4 linked regions of the Drosophila melanogaster genome follow. The protein of the gene in region 4 interacts with the protein of the main gene of each other region in a pairwise test. Each region holds a gene or a part of one and is shown on either strand. Other genes may lie near its edges.

Region 1 (4,019 bases), on a different chromosome or scaffold from region 4:
GATAGTTTTTTTTTTTCATTAATGCCCTAATAAGTTTATTGCTGGGCTGGGAGGTCGTTGCGGTGCAGCCGGCTTTGACTGCATACTCGGATTAGTTTTCTTGCGAGGGGATTTGTATGGGTGGTCAGCTTTTCGTTATACTTCGTTTTTTTTCTCAGCTATTACTTCGATTACTAATTTGATTTTTAGGTCTCTGTGTATGTTTTCGTTCCGAAGGTACCACGGCGCTCCAGTGATAATTCTCAGAATTCTTGACTGTGCTCGCTGAATAATGTCTATGTTACTTCTGGATGCGTTGCCCCACAGCTCGGAGCCATAAGTCCAGATAGGTTTTAAGACGGAGTTGTATAGAAGAGCTTTGAACTCCAGACTAAGTGGAGAGCGAGCATTTATGAGCCAGTGGAGGTTCCTTGCTTTAAGTTTAAGATGTTTCGATTTGGCTTCTATATGTTTGCGCCAAGTGAGCCGCCTGTCCAGATGAACACCCAGATATGTTACCTCGTCGGCTTGTGGAATGCATATGTTATTCAAGACCAGTGGTGGGCATGTTTGTTTGTTTAAGGTAAAGGTAACCTGCTTGCATTTTTGAACATTTATTGAAATTCTCCAGTCGGCAAGCCATCGTTCTACAGATGATAAGTGTCGGGATAGGAGTGCCGTGGCTTTTATTGGGCATTTGGAGCGACTGAGTATCGCGGTATCATCAGCGAACGTGGAGGTTGTTAGATTGTAGTCTATGGGGAAATCCGCCGTATACAGGGTGTATAAGATTGGATCCAGTACACTGCCTTGCGGCACTCCAGCTTCGATTGCGCAATCGCGTGAAGTGCTTGTATCGCATCTTATTGCAAACACTCTGTTATATAGGTATGACTTCAGTAGCTTATGTGTGTTTTGGGGCAACAGCTTGATTATTTTAAACAAAAGTCCATCGAGCCACACTCTGTCAAATGCCTGCGCGACGTCTAGAAAAATGGCTGTGCAGTATTCTCGATGTTCAAAAGCAGTACGAATTTCTGACGTGATTCGGTTGACCTGTTCGATGGTTCCATGTTTTTCTCTAAAGCCAAATTGATGTGTTGGAAGTGTGTTGTTTATTCTAAGATGAGGGCTAATCCGAAGGAGTAGCATTTTTTCAAACAGCTTTGAAAGACATGTTAGTAAGCTTATCGGTCTATATGATGATGGCTGCGTTTTATCTTTTCCTGGCTTTGGAATCATTACTATGGTCGACTTTTTCCATTTTTGAGGGAAGTATCCAAGCTTATCGATTGCGTTGAACAACAGGCAGATGTGAAGAATAGCACACTTTGGGAGTTCAATGAGCATTCTTGGAGTTATTAGGTCGTAGCCAGGCGATTTTCTTGGGTTCAGTTGCTCTTTGATAACCTTTGCTAGTTCACATGGTCGGAATTCAAAGGGTTCTTGAGGATCTAGATTGGCTGCTATTAAAGGAGGGAGAATAAATGTGTTGGTAGAGGGATTTGGTCGGAATACATTTTGTAAATGGTCAGCGAAAGCACAGGCTCTTTCTTCATCACTTCGAAACCAGGTGCCAGAGGGACTTCGTAGTGGCATAATTGGCGCTATTGGAGTCTTTAGGTTTCTGTGAGCTCTCCAAAGAGGGTACTTAGTGCTGGTGGGAGAGAGTTGCTCGATATATGAACGTTGGCTGTTTTTTTCCTCTTGTTTGAGAGCATTGGTAAGCCTGCGTGTGGGTATCTTAAGCATGTGCTTTGTAATTGGTGATCTATTAGACTGCCAATCCCTTCGTAGGCGTCGTTTATCTAATACCAGCCGCTCTATCATTTTTAAAACAGATTATACCGTATACACCTATACCTAATAAAACTTTATGACCGCGCAGCTGCTGTTGTACTCAATTATTAGCACAACTTGAATGCTCATAAAATATATGACGGATTAGGTAAAAGGAAAATCCACAAGTAGATTTGTAACACCAAAGGATATATGTACCTTCACAGTCTACCTGTTACCCTGTAGTACTAGTTTGTATATAAGCCAGGTGGACGAAGATAAGGATATCACTCAGCAACTGAATCTTGCCATAGATACATCTCAGTGCTTCCGGAGCAAACTGAAAGAGTAATCATCTATTTGTGCCTGAAATTGGTAAATCGTCCAACAAAGCTATATCCACCTTTAGTTTTCGAATCCAAAGTTTCCATATCTCAATCATGTTCGACGAGCCCATAATCTCCAGCTTCGTTTTTACCAACGAGGAGACCACGCAGACATTCCACCACCAGTGGTTTTCCCAGGGCCAGTTACACGAATGTGCCACCTGCTACAGCTCCATCGACGCAGATGAGCCGCCCTCCCAGCATTGGCTGCGGGGAGGAGAAGCATCACAGGGCTTGCATCTTACCAAGCAACAGCAGGCCGTTATGGATATTATCGAGGCCCGCCAGATCGAGACTTTCTTCTTCTGCGACGAGAGTTCCAAGGACAAGCTGGAACACTTCATGGGCGAGACCTGTGCGAGGGGAATCCCCGAGCTTCTCCGCTGGATGTTCCAGAACAACACCGTGGCCGTGGAGTTCAATCTGGCCTGCTACGTGAACGCCATGGACCAGGTGTTGATCTTTCAGAGCGGCTCGCTGAGGGCGGACCACCACTACGACGTAGACGAATCCGTGGGCGTGGTCTACGAGATGCTTATGCAGAGGATTGAAAACTACCTCAACTGCAGCAGCGAGTACGGCATGGCAGAGTGCAGCATCACCAGATTGAAAGTACAGGTGAAGAGGATTAGGGTGGAGGCGGACGGTCAGTCAGCGGACTCGTCCGTCTTCGCCCTACCCCTGCAGCTTCAGGAGGAGGAGGGCCTGACCGCCACTACCGGCTGCTCCACCAGCGAGGCAGAGCTTGCCAGTCTGCGCTCCGCCTACCTGAAGCACTTCCGCGAGTGCAACGGCTACTTCCCGCCCAACATGCGCGTCAATCTCTACGGACTGCAGCAGTGCAAGACCACCAAGGAGCTGTATGTGGTGCCCTATCATATCAGCGAAACCCTCCAGCAGCTGCCCAACAAGAACTTCCTCATCCTGAACAATATCATGGGCCAATTCCAGCGGCTCCACGAGCTCTCCACCCCCGTCAATTCCATCGAAAGGGATCAGACCAGCTCGCCGCTAAAGGACCTCCACTGCCGGAGGTGTCGCACCCAGTTCTCGCGACGCAGCAAACTGCACATCCACCAGAAGCTGCGCTGTGGCCAGGACTTCTCCGTGGACAGCATGCACGCGGACATCGTGGAGATCTACGAGCAGTGCCTGCCCATCTCGAGAAGCGTCTTCCAGCACGCCTGCTACGGCATCACCAAGCCCAAGACCATGATGCGGAAGGGTCAGTTTGTGCCCATCGAGTGCGACTGGCGCAGCGAGAGCTCCGTGAAGGTGCAGCACGGCCCGTGTGTCGTCATCAGCAACGCCCAGCACAATAGTCCTTGTAAATTTTATTAAATAAACGATAACTTTTAAGCTGAAACTTAATTCTTTCTTTTAACCAGGGGGTAAATCAATGTAAGGGTAGTGGCGGTTGCAATAATAGCTAATAACTTTTAATAATAGGTGAAAATTTTTAGGAATTTTATACGTTTTATTGCAAAGCCAAACGTTTAAGACAATATTTATTATTAATTGTGAGCACCTCTCGCCACTGTCGTTGGCAGACATCCAGACATCTCCGCGACAGGAGTACGTGACCGAGTACGGGACCGACTGCAAAAATATTAACCACTGTTGTTAACCAGATTAAATAAAATACTAACATTTGTAACTAACATGCTTGTACCTATATTTGTAGCCCCAACTATATGTGTGCGAATGCAACAGGCTGATTTATTAATGAGCGCAGGATTTTGGCTTTCTCAGGGCAGATAGCCAACAGTTTTAATATGTATGCTACGTCTGATTTACCACCCTTATATTAAATCAATAATTTAATATTCCCTGCCGTCGATTTCACCAAACTTGACGCCTTTCTTCTCTGAGTTC
Region 2 (3,894 bases), on a different chromosome or scaffold from region 4:
GCCAAAATGAATACTGCTGAATCGCAACTACAGAATTCACTGCCTCACTGCGCTAATAAGTTGAACATATTCTTCGCTCTACTAACATGGCGTATGTTACTTTTGGTACCCGCGAAAATCTGGTGCTTTTTCTGGTCCTGGGAGCCTATGTTTTCGGTCTACCTCACAATCGAAATAATGGGTTGTCCGGCCAGGAATTCAAAGAACTCCATATGCTGCCAAATCAAGATATCTTCGTCTTCTAGAATCCCTGGTTTGGGATTCTTTTTTTCAAAAATTAATTGAATTTTAAGCTCGGTTGTCTTTTGGGATTTCTTATTAAGGTGGCGTCTATATAAGCTTAATCACATTATTTCGAAAGCATAGACAACTCATTGGCTTTTGTTTAAGCTTTTCAAAAATATTTGATTGCAATAATCCTCAAGCTCATTTTCATAACATGATTTTAGAATACTTCAGATCTACTACAAGATAAAATTTCCCATTAACCCAAATTTTATTAATAAAACGTGATTACTATTGAATTGGCATAACAATTAGATTTTTATTGAAACATTCAGCCACACATTGAATTTGCAACTTAGCCATAATATCTTACAATGATGAAACTGAAGATCCTTTCGGGTCCTTCGATAAGAAAGATAATTAATTGAGATACAGGGAGATCCAGTTACATATTTAAGATACAAATTGCACTACATTTAAAGCTAAGGGGAAATTAAATCGGAGCGTGGGGGAAACTAAAGTTAATATCACAATCGAAAATGGGCAACGGGTTTTGTTTTTGGGGAGTTAGTTGACTTGATGACTTAAAAATATCCGAAGAAATGCTTCGATCATTTGGGCATACCACCCATTCGGCGACCTGGCGGTGTGCCGCCGACCACGTTGATGATCTCGTTGTCACCGGCAGATGAGGATGAGTCCTCCAGCTGCGGCTGGTGATCACTGGCCTTGTCCTGGTGGGCGGTCATGTGTCGCGTTAGATGGTGTCGCTCCCTGAAAGTCTCCTGGCAGACGGGACATCGGAGTTTCTCCTCCCGCTTCCGTCGATTTGGATCGCAGGCCACTTCGCTTTTGTGATGGGATCGCATGTGATACACCAGATCACTGGTCATCCGGAAACTTATGTTGCACTTGGCGCACACATTCTGAGCGGTCAGTGTAAAAGTGGATGCCAATGTGGGTGGAATCAACGTGGAGAGAATGGCTGCTGCAGCGGGATTCTGGAGAGGTTGGGATACCGCGAATGGATGTGGTGGCGGAGCAAATCCGGGATAGGCATGCAGGAACTCCGACGGTGGACCCGGTGGTGAGTTTGCCTGCATAGTAGGTCCTCCTCCATTGGGATTTCCAGGTCCTGGTGGACGGGTGTACAACAACTGCTGCTTAAGGCGCTGCTGTGCCTGCAGAGCCTGCATGGGATTCACCGCCTGGAAGGCTCCGTTGAACTGATACTCCGGTCGGAAGTTGTGGTAGACTATGGGATTTGCTGGCAGGGGATTTGGATTCTGGCCACCGCTATTGGTTCTTGGTGGAGGTGTCACCAATGGTGGACTTATCGAGTGACAGCTTAGCTGATCGGGACTCAAGGGCGGAGCTCCCGCATCCACGGGTGATTCCAAACGTGAAGTGGTCGATGGTGAGGATGATGAAGTGGACAGCGACGAGGAGGCTACTTTGGTAAAAGCGCTGCGCATGGGCGGTGGTGGTGAAGAAGTTGATGGTGCCTCTGGAGAATCCACCAGGGGTATGACCACACTGGGATCATCATAAACCCGCGGCGAACGGATGCTGATCTGTGGATACCGCTGGCGTGCCTCCAACAGACTAATGTACTCCAGTGCCGCCGGCGAAGGTGGTTGCGAGGAGGTTCCTCGAGGAGACAAATCTGTGGGATAGTGGCTCATCTGCTGCTGCTGCTGTTGGTGGTGATGATGGTGCAGTGCCTCTTGAAGGCGAGCCTGCTTCTCGGCCTGCTTTTGCTTAATCCGTTCATCGGGCATCATGAGGAAGGCCACATCGAAGGCGCGTTTAAGAGTGGTCTTTCCACCCGGTGGCGATGTGGGTGTCTCATTGTTGTTATTGTGATTAGTGGTTTGATTTTGCTGCGGTGACTGTTGCGGTGATGTGGAGATCCTAAGCTCGGCGTGCTGAGGCGGCGTTGGGCGACGCTGGCCAGGATTCGCGTGCGACGGCATGCTATCCATGAGCAGATTCATTTTCACTTCAATACACTTTTCGACTTTCACTTGGCTCTGGTAGGGACTTTGGGTCTTTGGTTCTATACAGTTCCTTGCGATTCGAAATTCCAGTTTCGACTGCTGGCCGCCCGCAATCTGTTCCTCTTTAAGTACCCGCTGCCACAACCACCGCGTCCAGTTGGAATTCTCGTATTCTCATATTGTCCCATTCAATTGGGAAAAAGCAACTCTCCGCACTCGCGGCACTTGGCCCATCTGTCCTGATTCTGCTCGGAGTCTGTTCAGATTCAGGTCCTGCAGAGAGCACCACCCTTATGTTCCTGCTCTTGCTCTTTCACTCCCGCTTGTCCTCTCTTTCTCCAGCGGTCTTCTCTCTCTTTCTTTGGCCCACTCTCCGTCTCTCCAGCGTTCCATCTGCTTTGCCAGTTGGCGAACATATTCTGTGGTTTTATTGTGCGAGTCCTAGCCAGGACGACTCCTGGTTGGCTAGCATTCACGGACAGGTTGGCTTGTTCGAAAACCTTGTTGTGCTGTATGTGATGCATTGGTACAATGGGCAATGTTGTTGTTAAAGTTGTGTGATATTATTTAAAAAACTTAATTGATTAAACTTAGAAGGATTTGAAACTAGGGTCATCTATATGAGAAGTTACTCTTATTCATTCAAAAGAGTTGAATATCTTGAAGTAGTTGCGCTTAAACTTCATTAGGTAAATGTTTTCAAATATTTTACAATAAATAAAACTTTTTCGCATGGTTTCCATTTAGATTTTTACCAAAACATTATATTTTACTAAATTATTTTCCCTGTTCCGCCCACTGTGCACTCATCTCTTTTCGCAAGGAGGCGGTGCTTGATCCTGGCCGCTCTCTCGCTTGCTCTCTCTCTCGATTTGCCTCTCACACCCACCCCGAAAATATGGCAGGACCTGCCCTCTCTGTCTGGCTCTATGCCCGTCTCTGTCGGTGGTGATGTCCTTGTTGCAAGTGTTTCCGAACAGGTTGTTTTTGTCGATTTTTTAGCAGTTCCAGCGAGATTGTGTGAATATGTGGCCATGTTTTGTGCTGGTGTATTTGTTGCGTTTGTTGCTGCTGGCTTGGATTTTGAGTATATGCTGCGCGTAGCTTTTACATATTGCCAACTACACACACACACACACACACACACGCTCTGGAATTGGGGTTCCCCCGTTTTGTAGGCGACTGTTGAGCGTCGAAATCTTTCAACATACCGAAATATTTATTTGTCAGTTAAGTTAGCGCTATGTGGAAAAAGTGGCAAGTGCCCAGTAAATATGCACATGCAACAATAGCAAATTGTGCAATGCCTTCCGTTCGTTTTCCGTCTCGTTCTGATCCCCCGTTTATTTCCCTTTTTTCCGGCTAGACCCTAGATCCTGGCAGACCGGATGCAAGGATGTGGCCATTGCCAGGACAAAATATGTGTCTGTTATGGTCAGTCGTGAACAGGGTTTGCAGCTATGGGGTGTATGTATATTTTATTTAAATTTTCGACTCTTTTGTTGCACTTTTTGCTTGCAGCCATGTGGCTGCAGCAGCGGCAATTTAATGTTTGCATATTTTCAGGTGCTAATTGTTCCACTTGCCATATGAGTTGCATTTTTAATTAATATTTATAGCCAACAGCCGAGTGTGCGAGTGTGCGTGTGTGTGTGTATGGGTGCATTTG
Region 3 (4,977 bases), on a different chromosome or scaffold from region 4:
CAACACCTTTTTTAAGGGGGTGTTGCAAGGGTTGGGTGGCAGGGGGCACCCTTTTGTTTGCGCCGATTTTTTGGCACTTTTTTTTCGGGGGATAGCACGGGTAGCAATTGTTGTCTCGTGGAGAGCGGCGGGCATTAAATAAATAAGAAAAAATATATTCGCAAGGAGGCGGGCTGCATTCCGTGCAATTTTCACTTTACAACTGTTTCAAAGTTATCTTTGTTTCAATTGTGTGCACGACGGCGGCAAAAAGCGAGCAGCAAAAAATATTGGCAAACAATTTACTTTTTGGCCAAAATGCGAAATAAAAGTAAAATGTGGCAAATAATTTGCCCAAAGCTGCGGCAGGTTGAACACGGAATAAAGGGAATCTGCAGCAGGATATCAAAGAGGACTTTCCCCTCATTGATTTATTGTCCTTTTGTGCTGGTTGCAAATGGGGAGCTTCCTTTTTTTTTTTTGCTCTGTAGCCTGGCTCAATTGCAATTTAAAGACACAGTCTGTTTATTTTGGGCAAAGTCGGGCCGAAGTCTCCAACTCCACTTGAGATAGGCATCGGCAAAATTAATCATCTTTGCATGCCAGTTGCCAGATAGTTTGTGGGGCCAAGTTTGTTTAATTTCGATTACCAGCTGACGGGGCAGAGTCCTGTGCCCGGTGAAAGATGCAGGATGAGCCGGCCAGGAGTTATAAATGGCAGCACCGACAGCACCAGCATATAAAACTGACATCCACTGACAGCAGCCAAAATGATTAATTAGACAGGAGGCAATCTTGTTGCTGGTGGAACACACACACTAGGTAGGTATTCCCAATCGAAGATGCAAATGTCAGATAAATGTTTAATTTCTGCTCAGGGCTTCGATGGGCGAAAATGGGAATGGAAATTGGCGCTGATTTATACATAGAGTATATTTAGAGTATATTTAGCTAAGGGGCGTAGTCGAAGGTGATAACAGGCGACAGGTTTTCGCCAGGGCGAAATCTTTGATTTACGGCATTTTGGAGCCGTTTCGAAATGCGACACAACACACGCCGAGCAGCCGGAAAATTAGTACAACTTGACTAGCTGGCTGGCTGACTAGCTGGCTGGCTGGCTGGCGTTTTCCCCCGGCTTTTCCAAAAGCCCAGCGAACAGCATTTCGTATGTAGCCGGCGATTAATATCCATCGCAGTCGCAGCTGCCCAGCGCCATCAAGCAGCTCGGTTTGCCCAGGGAAGAGACGGAAAACAAGCGGAAAGTATATGGATCGAAGATATGTGGGCCAACCTGTGCGCAGCCATCTCTGATCGATTAGCCAAACTATCGTGTTCGAGGGCTTTTAGTTCCGCCCACAGAGAACGGAGCTGCTTAAATAGCCATAAATTATAATTTATGGCAGCGGTGTTGCCACCGTTTCAACCGTTTCCACCGAACATGTGCAATTAATCCGTCTCTTTAGCTGGCTTATCAATTGTCAGAGTCGGAGGAGTGGAGCACCGAACGAATCGTGGGCGTTTCCCCAGCATTGCGCCATCCCCAATGCTCCCCAACTAAGCGTTTTCAATTAATTTCGGCTCTTTCTCACACCTTCCATTTCAACCGATGAGCTCTGCCCACTGACAGTTTTATGCTTTGTTTACACTCGATAAACAGAGTGGCAAGCGACCAGCAATATGGCCATAAAACAGGTTCTTAAATGGAGGTGCGGCATCGCGGTAATGGTGTTGGCCAAGTTAGCTACCTGTCGTCTGCTGTTTCAGCCTGCGCATGCGGTTTTCCTGGTCAGGGGTAGCTCTACCTGGTTCTCGGTGGGTGGAGATTACTGGCAAGGCGGCGGTGCTGTTTCGGCGGTGCCAACAAATCAAATTGAGATGTGGCTGCAATTGGTCGGCCACTGGGAGGAACAGAGAGGTGGCTATGCTATGCAATGCAGGGAATAATGCCATTATTCAAGATCGACTGGCCGACTTTCATGTGTGAAGAGCGTGATATGACCAATAGATATAAGAAATCGAATGATCTGCCATGTTAAACCGTACTAATTTTAACTATATTGTAGTTTTAGCTCATGGAAAAGGACTTTCGTAGCTGAAAACCAGCGAATGATTATAGTTGAACAACAATAAGTTCTTTAAGTTCTCAAAGCGTATAGAAGTTGCACAAAGTGACCCAGTTTTCTCTCAGTGTGCTGATCGGGCAAACTTTTTCGGTTTCGGGCTCGCTCTCTCCTTTTTGAGAACCGGAGCCCGTTCTCTGCGTAGGAGTAGGTAATGGTAATTCGAGACCTGCCTCGATCCTTACTCGCCGTTTATGAGTTTGTTTTTCTATAGCTACTCATTCTTATGATCCCCTGAAGGTGGAGACCACACATATACCCAAGATGGCGGATGGTTTCTGGGAAACTGCTAAGCTTGCATGTGGGGATCTTCAAATCGAAGCTACCGAGTCTTGGCGCGCGAATCACTTGAACACAAAGTTCTATGGCACGGCTGATTGGTGATAATGGAGGCGGTTTGCGGATGAATCACCCGAGATCTGTGCTCCAGATCCGCGTTCTGATCACTTACACTGCATGGCGAAGGGGGAGGTGGAGGGCATGCTCTGCTGAATGATGGTATCCTCTTGGCCGAAACGTGAAGACGACGGCGCCAGACAGGACAACATTTGGAATGCTTGTTGCAACACTTGCTCTACTTTGATGCGGATAGTTTGTTTGGCTAGTTGGCTAGTTGGCTAGTGGGTTCTTCTGGGCTCGGCGTTATTTCTTTCTTATAGAGCACACACGTGTTGTGGCGGCCATTTGGGCAAGGGCCTTGGGTTTTTTATCTTTCGAACATGGGAAACACTGGGATTTTTCTTCGCGATGCGCCGCTGCGAGTGTCGCGTTTGTTTTTATTTTGTGGGCGATTTCACTGATCTGCGTTCTATATCTGCGTGATTCTACTGTGTGCTGCTCAGAGTTTTCTCTGTGGGTGAGCGACGCGTGTGCTGCCGTCGCGACGTCTACGATGCAACTGAATTCAGAGTTCTAAGTTTCGAAGCATCAAGCCAAATCCGAGAACGAAACAGAGACCGACGTCCTCTACCGAATCCGTCGGATGCGAACTGTGAGTTTCGGGCGAGGGCGATACGGCGGGGTTCTACGTTTCCACGGAGAGCGAGTGAGAGAGGGCGGCGCTGTTTGTGTGTGTGCTCCGTGCCACCACCAGCATAATATAACGGTGTAACGGTTCACCGTTCCGATGTACGAGGTGATTCGGGCGGGGGTAGTGTGGTTGGTGCTCTAATGCTCTGATGGGTGGTGTGTTGGTGGTGGTGCCAGAGAAGCGAGAGCGCTTCATTCTTAACATAACAGCTCTCTGTTATCGCATATCGTAAATGTTAAGCGCTGTTAGTGCCGCTCCTCTCGGTTATCCCGTGACGTAAGCACTACGTAAGGGTGGCCTCTTTTGTTCATCGTGCTGCTCGTAAACATATGGCCGTTATGCGGGATTTGACTATATTAACATTTGCACAAAATTTCGTTTTTATTGATAAAGCGACTTATGAGTCTTTCCATTAACTTTTCCGCCAACCGTCAAATTTATTTCGGTGTTATTTTATTAATACTCTGTGCTGCTGGGTATCAATATTAAAGTGTAGAGCTTAAGTGATTTACATATTTAATTGTTATAATTAGGAAATATTTTTAATAAACAGTTTAATACTCAACAATAAATAGGAATTATCTGAAATTCCCAGAATTGAACAGCAATAAGATAGTTTAATTATATACTTGTATTATAATTTTTTAAGTCTTTCCGGTAAATCAAGTTTATGACAAAATATTCCCCGTGTGGGAATTACACACATATGTATGCATATCGCTATGATTAATTCCCCACTCAAGAAAGCTTTCGATCGTTTTTCTTTCGGGTAAATTTGGCGGTGCGAGATAAAGGGGATTTCTTTTTTCCAGGGAATCCCTTAACCCTTTCCTGGCCACATCGCTGCGTTAACGGACAAAATCATTTGCACTTGCGATTGCAAAATTTCCTCTGCTGCGATTTCCGAGTAAGAAATACCGAAATCGTTCCGCGATTGCCACACATTAATGACATCGTTTGCTGATGGGCGAGTTCTTGAGAATGTCCATCAATGGACACGTCTACAAAATGACAGAAGAACAGAGATCCAAGAGATCCCGGACAACCGAAGAATTCTAACGAAGAGAGCAGAATGCGAGTGGCTTGATTCTTTGGCTCCATCAACAAGTTTTGGCGGCCCCTTGGGATGTTGCTTTTTTTGTACTTTATATTTTGCTGCTCAAAGAAACATATAGATTTGAAAACTAAAAGTATAAATGGATAAAAAGATATTTATGGTAACAGAAATTGTGTTATCGAAAAAAAAAGCGAAACATGCTCTCTTTGATAAAAAGCAAAAACAAAAGGCGGACTCGACAACATAATAAACAATTTGTACATTAATTTTTAATGCGGTTAACATGTGTTCCCCCTTCTCCCTCACACACCCATACACTCACAAACGCGGTCGCTACGTGTGTGTAAGTGTAAAATAGGTGGAGCTTCATAATTTTCTCACTTGAAACGTACTGCCATGAGCGGGAAAGAGAGCGCCGGCGGTGCAAGCGAGAGAGAGGGAGAGAGAGATAGCCGCCGGAGAGGCCGCTTTTTTTTTGTTGCCTCGCATTCATTTTGTATGTTAATTAGTTGCCGTTCACTCGCGTGCGCGTGTGTTGAGTATCTGTGTGAGGTGGCGTGGGTGTTTAATGAGAAGCGAGCAAGGTGCGCACATTGGTCGTCCATCGGTTGCACCTGTTGCGCTCGTTCGATTGGCGGAAAAGCCCCAGGGAAAATTGGAGGCTGATGAAGTGGGAAAATGACTCAATAAGATATATGCGAGAATGAATCAGAATAGATATTTATGTCTGGACTTGAAAATAATTCATCTCTTGCAATGAGCTCGTACCTCCCCGAGTTTTGTAGATCTTA
Region 4 (4,920 bases):
TTCCTTGTGTTTGTATCCGTATCTGTACGTGGTACGTATGCATGTATATCCCCATTGTATCTTCACAAGTATATTCGTATCTGTCGGATTGTTGCTGCAACATTGCAGTATCATCGGCATTGAGCATTGGCCAGCCAGTGGAAAGGGGCAGACAGAGAGACGGACGGACGGACAGACGGACAGACAGTCCTTATGGAAGCCATAGAAAATGCTGCTTAGTATTTGTATTTGGGCCTGAATAATTGCATCATCGTTGGCACTGCCAAACTGACACTTTGTGCTAGTTGGGAGCACAGATACAAATTGTAGCAAATTACGTTTGAGCTAGTGAAGTAATAATCATTATCAAATCGAAGTCCCAATTTCAGATGCAGCCATAAAATCAGCAATCATTCAACATTGGCGTCGATTAGGTGTTCAAACACCCCCCTCCCCCCTTTTCACATGCTACTATCCGTCAGCCATCAGTCGGTTACGGATGCATCGCGCACACACACACACACGAATATACATACATCTCAACACCTTGCATTATCGCATTTGCTTACTGCTCAGTTTTCAGCTTTCAGCTTTCAGTTTTAACTACCGCAAATGCCACGCAACTGGGAAAAGAGCAAAGTCGCCCACTCTCAACTCTTAACCTTTAAAACCCAGGCAACCGCACATCTGTGTATAGCCAAAGCTAAAGCTGTAGCTGTAGCCGTAACTTCAGCAGTAGCTATATATAAATATACATATGTATGTAGTATATAAATATAGATATGTATGCATGTGCGAGCACAATACGCACCACGCACTTTAAAAGGGCAAAAACAAATCAAGCATCCGCCGCGTGGGCGTCGCCCCCAAGTTCACAGTTCACATGACATACACATCATCATGATTGCCTCGCTTGTCGTGATAATGATGATGATGATGAGTGTAACCTGCACTGGAGGCTGAAATAATATTGCGAGACACACTCCACCCACTCGCATAATGAGTTAATTTATTTGGCAAAATTTACATACCGTATCAGGTATCAGGTATCAAAGGGTTTTCCAGCAGCTGTGTCGGCTGCTTAGCTCGACCTTTGCGTTCGAATACGAATCTCAATTCGAATCTGAATCTGTATCTAAATATGCAACCGACCGAAAAAGAAACAAACGCCACACACAAATGCCACAAAATTGCGTCTCTTAATTGGTTTGACTTGAAGGCATAATTGCTGAATTGCAAATCTATTTTACATGAGCTTAACTACTCAACAATGCCTGGCCATTTTCAATTCTCGTACAACAAATAATTCCTGGCCAAAAGTGTGGAAATGTAAATAGAATCGGCTAAAGTGGTTTGAGCGCTGAAAAGGGCATCCCTACATCTACATCATTCGAACTGTTTCGCTATATTTATGACCAAACACCAAATACCAAATACATTCGTTTTTAACCCGACGGCTGGAAGATATTCATATTTCAAAAGCCGGACACAGTAAGTTACTGGGTTTTCTGCTTATTGCTTTGAGTAAGTGAATGTAAAAATAGAAAAATCTAGTTAGTTGCTGAGTAAGTCGCTTGAAATGTAACAACAAACACACTCGTAACAATGATGTTCGATGCACAAAGGAGCTCCGTTGCAATCATATTCATGGGTTCGTACCTCTGGAGTACTAAAGTTGATCTATTATAACCGCTATGCATATATCACAGGCGCTATAAGTATGGATTTCTTAACAACGTAACTATCTTATAGCTTGCTAACTACAATCTTGTAAGAGATCACTGACGATTGCACTACTTATGCAAGAGTTAGGCAACTGGATCGTTGCACTAATCGCAGTAGATTTTTAATTAAGGTCACTGGCTCATAGCCATTAAATCCATAATCATACTAAACCTATTCATACTGCTAACCAAATGAGATTAGGTGTGAGTGAGTGTGAGTGAGTCAGGACTAAATTGAACTGTCTTCTCACCTGGGCAGATTCTGGAGGTAGCGCATCTGCTTCTCGCGCCGCAGTTCGTCATTCAGGCGGCAGTAGGTGTTGTTGATGCAGACGCTGCGCCGCAGGTTCGCCTCCGAGTCCTTGATCCTCTCCATCTTGTGGGCGCAGAGCTGGAGGATCCGCTTGCGCTCCTCGCGCTGCCGCAGCTTTGGCGAGATCATGGGCACACGGGAACGGTGATGGTGATAGCCGATGGGCGGGGAGCAGCGGGGTGGTCCAAACATGTCTGAGTCTTCGTCGCTGCTGCTGCTGTTGTTACTGCTGATATTGCTGTGGTTGTTGTTGCCGCTGCCGCCGTCGTTTGCAGATGCGTGTGTGTTTGTGGGCAAGGTCATTGTGCGTTTTTCAAGCAAGTGTGTGCCTTGTTTGCTGGCTTGTTTATGTGGTTTTCTTTGACAGACAGAAAACAACTTTGCTGCTTTGATTTGCAATTTAATTTTGATTCGAGTGATTTTCGATAAATTATTTGAAACAAGGAAGTCACACCACTCGGCTCACATACGCTCTCTTTTGCGAGCTCTTTTTGCTCTCTTGCACTTGCTGCTGCTGGTACTGCTGGTGCTGCTTCTTCTTCTGTCTGACTTTGCTTTTTCTTTTCTTTTTGCTGATTTCTGTTTTTCTTTTTGTTGTTGCCTTGCGAGATTTCACTTGGCTGTTCACCGTTAGTCGAGCCTGCCGCTTTTGTTGTTGTCTTTGAAGTTTGGCAAAATTCAAAATAATCCAGGACTTTTGAATTTTTGTGTTTTATTTTTTTTTTTTTTTAAGAACTTGCACTTGCTTACGCTATGTAGTCAAACACAATAAAAAAATTCAACAAAAATTGTCAGATTTGTTTGTTTAGTTTTAGGCACACAATTGACTCAAAATTGCAGAGGGGTCGGGGCTTCACATTAATTGTTTCTATTTCTTAGTGGTCTCTTCTAATTTTTCGGTGGCCGCCTGTTGAGGGTTTAAGGTGAGGGGTGAAGAGAACTTTGTGCTTGGTCACCGTGGCTTACTGTTTCGGTTCCTGTTTCAACCGCACACGTCCGCACGGTTCTCGCGTTCGAAACGAAATAAAAACGCAAACGCTAAATGAAAGACGTTCGCTCGCAGCCGCTGCCGCAGTGGCGTCGCTGCCTCTGCCCTCGGTGGCAGAGCGCACAGATGTTTGCGTTCAAACGGAAGTGGCTTAAGAGAGCGCCTAAGAGAGAGAGAGTGAGAGAGCGAATGGCCTACGTGCGTATTTGTACATGCATACACACAGCTGAGGCAAACAAATAATAACACCTAGGCGCTTAAATAAAAGTTTTTAGGCCAATCGTCTCAAGCTAAATGATTTGATTTACTTTATATAGGTGCTCTGTATGAACTAAGTTAATTGACATATTGCATTAACAATCTTTACAGACACAATAATCTTAGTTCCAACTTGCAAATTGCTAACATAATTTTTCCAATATTCCCACATATCTTAAAACTGTAATTACATTTTCAGTGCTATTCTCTCCACCTGCACTGTACATGTGTATGTATATTTGTCGCAAAGATTTTTACTCATTTGTAACGGAAGCAAATCGCTGGTCAGTGGGTGGTGTATTTGTGTTGTCGTGGGTGTTTGAGTGGTTGGGCGCTTCGGTGATGAGCATAATCCGCATAGTTGTTGCTCCTGCCCCTTTATTATGTAAAAATAGTGACTTTGGCTGGATTTGGCTATGCAAAGTACTTGCTAAGGCAATCACCTACACTTGCGGCAACTGCTAATTGAGAAATCCACACGGCGCTGACATGGAATCATTCGAATCCATTGAAATTGCCAAATTAGGCGTGGGGGTAACCCCTTGAACTTATCGGCTCGGCTTAACGGGTTTAACAAAATTAAATACACACATATGCGCATGTATACATATGTTCATGCTTGTAGAGTGGCTCCTATAGTCTGTTTTGCGAATCAGAATCCAAGTAGAATAGTTTTTTAAGTGTTGTCTCAAAGATGTATGCATACATGGATGTATGTATGTATGTGTGCTTATGACTCTGTAGAAGGTCTATAAACTATGTATTTTGAGGTTTTGAAATGCGAGCTCGAATCAACCCCCTTCCCCGTTTCCAGCTCGATTCATCCTCTTCAACAAGTTCATCTCATCATTTACAGTTTTAGCATGATCCGAAAAATAACAACAACAACAACGACAACAACAAAAGCAAGAAAGTGGGCACAAATAATCGTAACAACAACAATTGTGAGGTCAGTTTGGCACTAGTCAGCGTGTGTGATTATGTGCGCACTTATGTCTGCGTGCATGTACATACATACATATGTTTGTGTGCGAGCACAAAGAGACAATGCAAATTTGCACTCAAACAAAGAGAGAGCGAGTGCAAGTGCGAGTGCGAGAGAAAGGGAAGAGTTCATGAGCGTGCGTTGTGAATGGCTGGAGGGGTCGAGTGCTGTGAGTGGGGGGATCTTTGTTTATCATTTTTGTGTACTATTATTAAGGCGCCGCTGACGGTCGATGACGACATACACACACACACACACACACACACGCAAATGCAAACATAGAGTTTGCACGTGTTTGTGCAAAGTGTTTAGCCGCAAGAAGTAAAGTTCTCGTTTTGATTTTGTTTATTCAAAATTGAAATTCCCAGAAACAAAAGCTCCCATGACGATGATGATTCACATGCCAGACGCTGCGGGGAAAAACATCAGGAACTTTATCAGCTAATTGTGTCACAAGAGGACAAATAAGCCAGAAACATTTGCCTGCGCGCGTTTCTTGGTATAGTGCCATCAACTCGATCTCGATCTCAGTAGTTCATCTTTTATAATGCCCACACACACATACATATGTACATATATGAGCATATGTACATATGTACATAAGTCATATGTACATATATGAGCATATGTATGTACATAAGTCATATGTACGTACATACGTTTTTGATTATCT

Evidence for each region.
Region 1: the proteins of CG2865 (region 4) and term interact in a two-hybrid assay, tested with the Drosophila melanogaster proteins (one large-scale study listed by BioGRID).
Region 2: the proteins of CG2865 (region 4) and CG13287 interact in a two-hybrid assay, tested with the Drosophila melanogaster proteins (one large-scale study listed by BioGRID).
Region 3: the proteins of CG2865 (region 4) and zfh1 interact in a two-hybrid assay, tested with the Drosophila melanogaster proteins (one large-scale study listed by BioGRID).

Annotation. Positions count from the first base shown.
Region 1 is NT_037436.4:18,591,791-18,595,809, reverse strand, and holds term (terminus), read left to right. Parts: upstream 1-2,038; 5' UTR 2,039-2,198; coding exon 2,199-3,485; 3' UTR 3,486-3,507; downstream 3,508-4,019.
Region 2 is NT_037436.4:5,880,735-5,884,628, reverse strand, and holds CG13287 (uncharacterized protein), read right to left. Parts: upstream 2,326-3,894; 5' UTR 2,223-2,325; coding exon 837-2,222; coding exon of another isoform or gene 810-836; 3' UTR 539-809; downstream 1-538.
Region 3 is NT_033777.3:30,763,954-30,768,930, reverse strand, and holds the start of zfh1 (Zn finger homeodomain 1), read right to left. Parts: upstream 3,006-4,977; 5' UTR 2,648-3,005; coding exon 2,551-2,647; intron 1-2,550. UniProt on the Drosophila melanogaster protein: Involved in the development of the embryonic central nervous system, embryonic mesoderm and adult musculature.
Region 4 is NC_004354.4:2,290,371-2,295,290, forward strand, and holds the start of CG2865 (uncharacterized protein), read right to left. Parts: upstream 3,042-4,920; 5' UTR 2,983-3,041; exon of another isoform or gene 2,924-2,982; 5' UTR 2,320-2,923; coding exon 1,955-2,319; intron 1-1,954.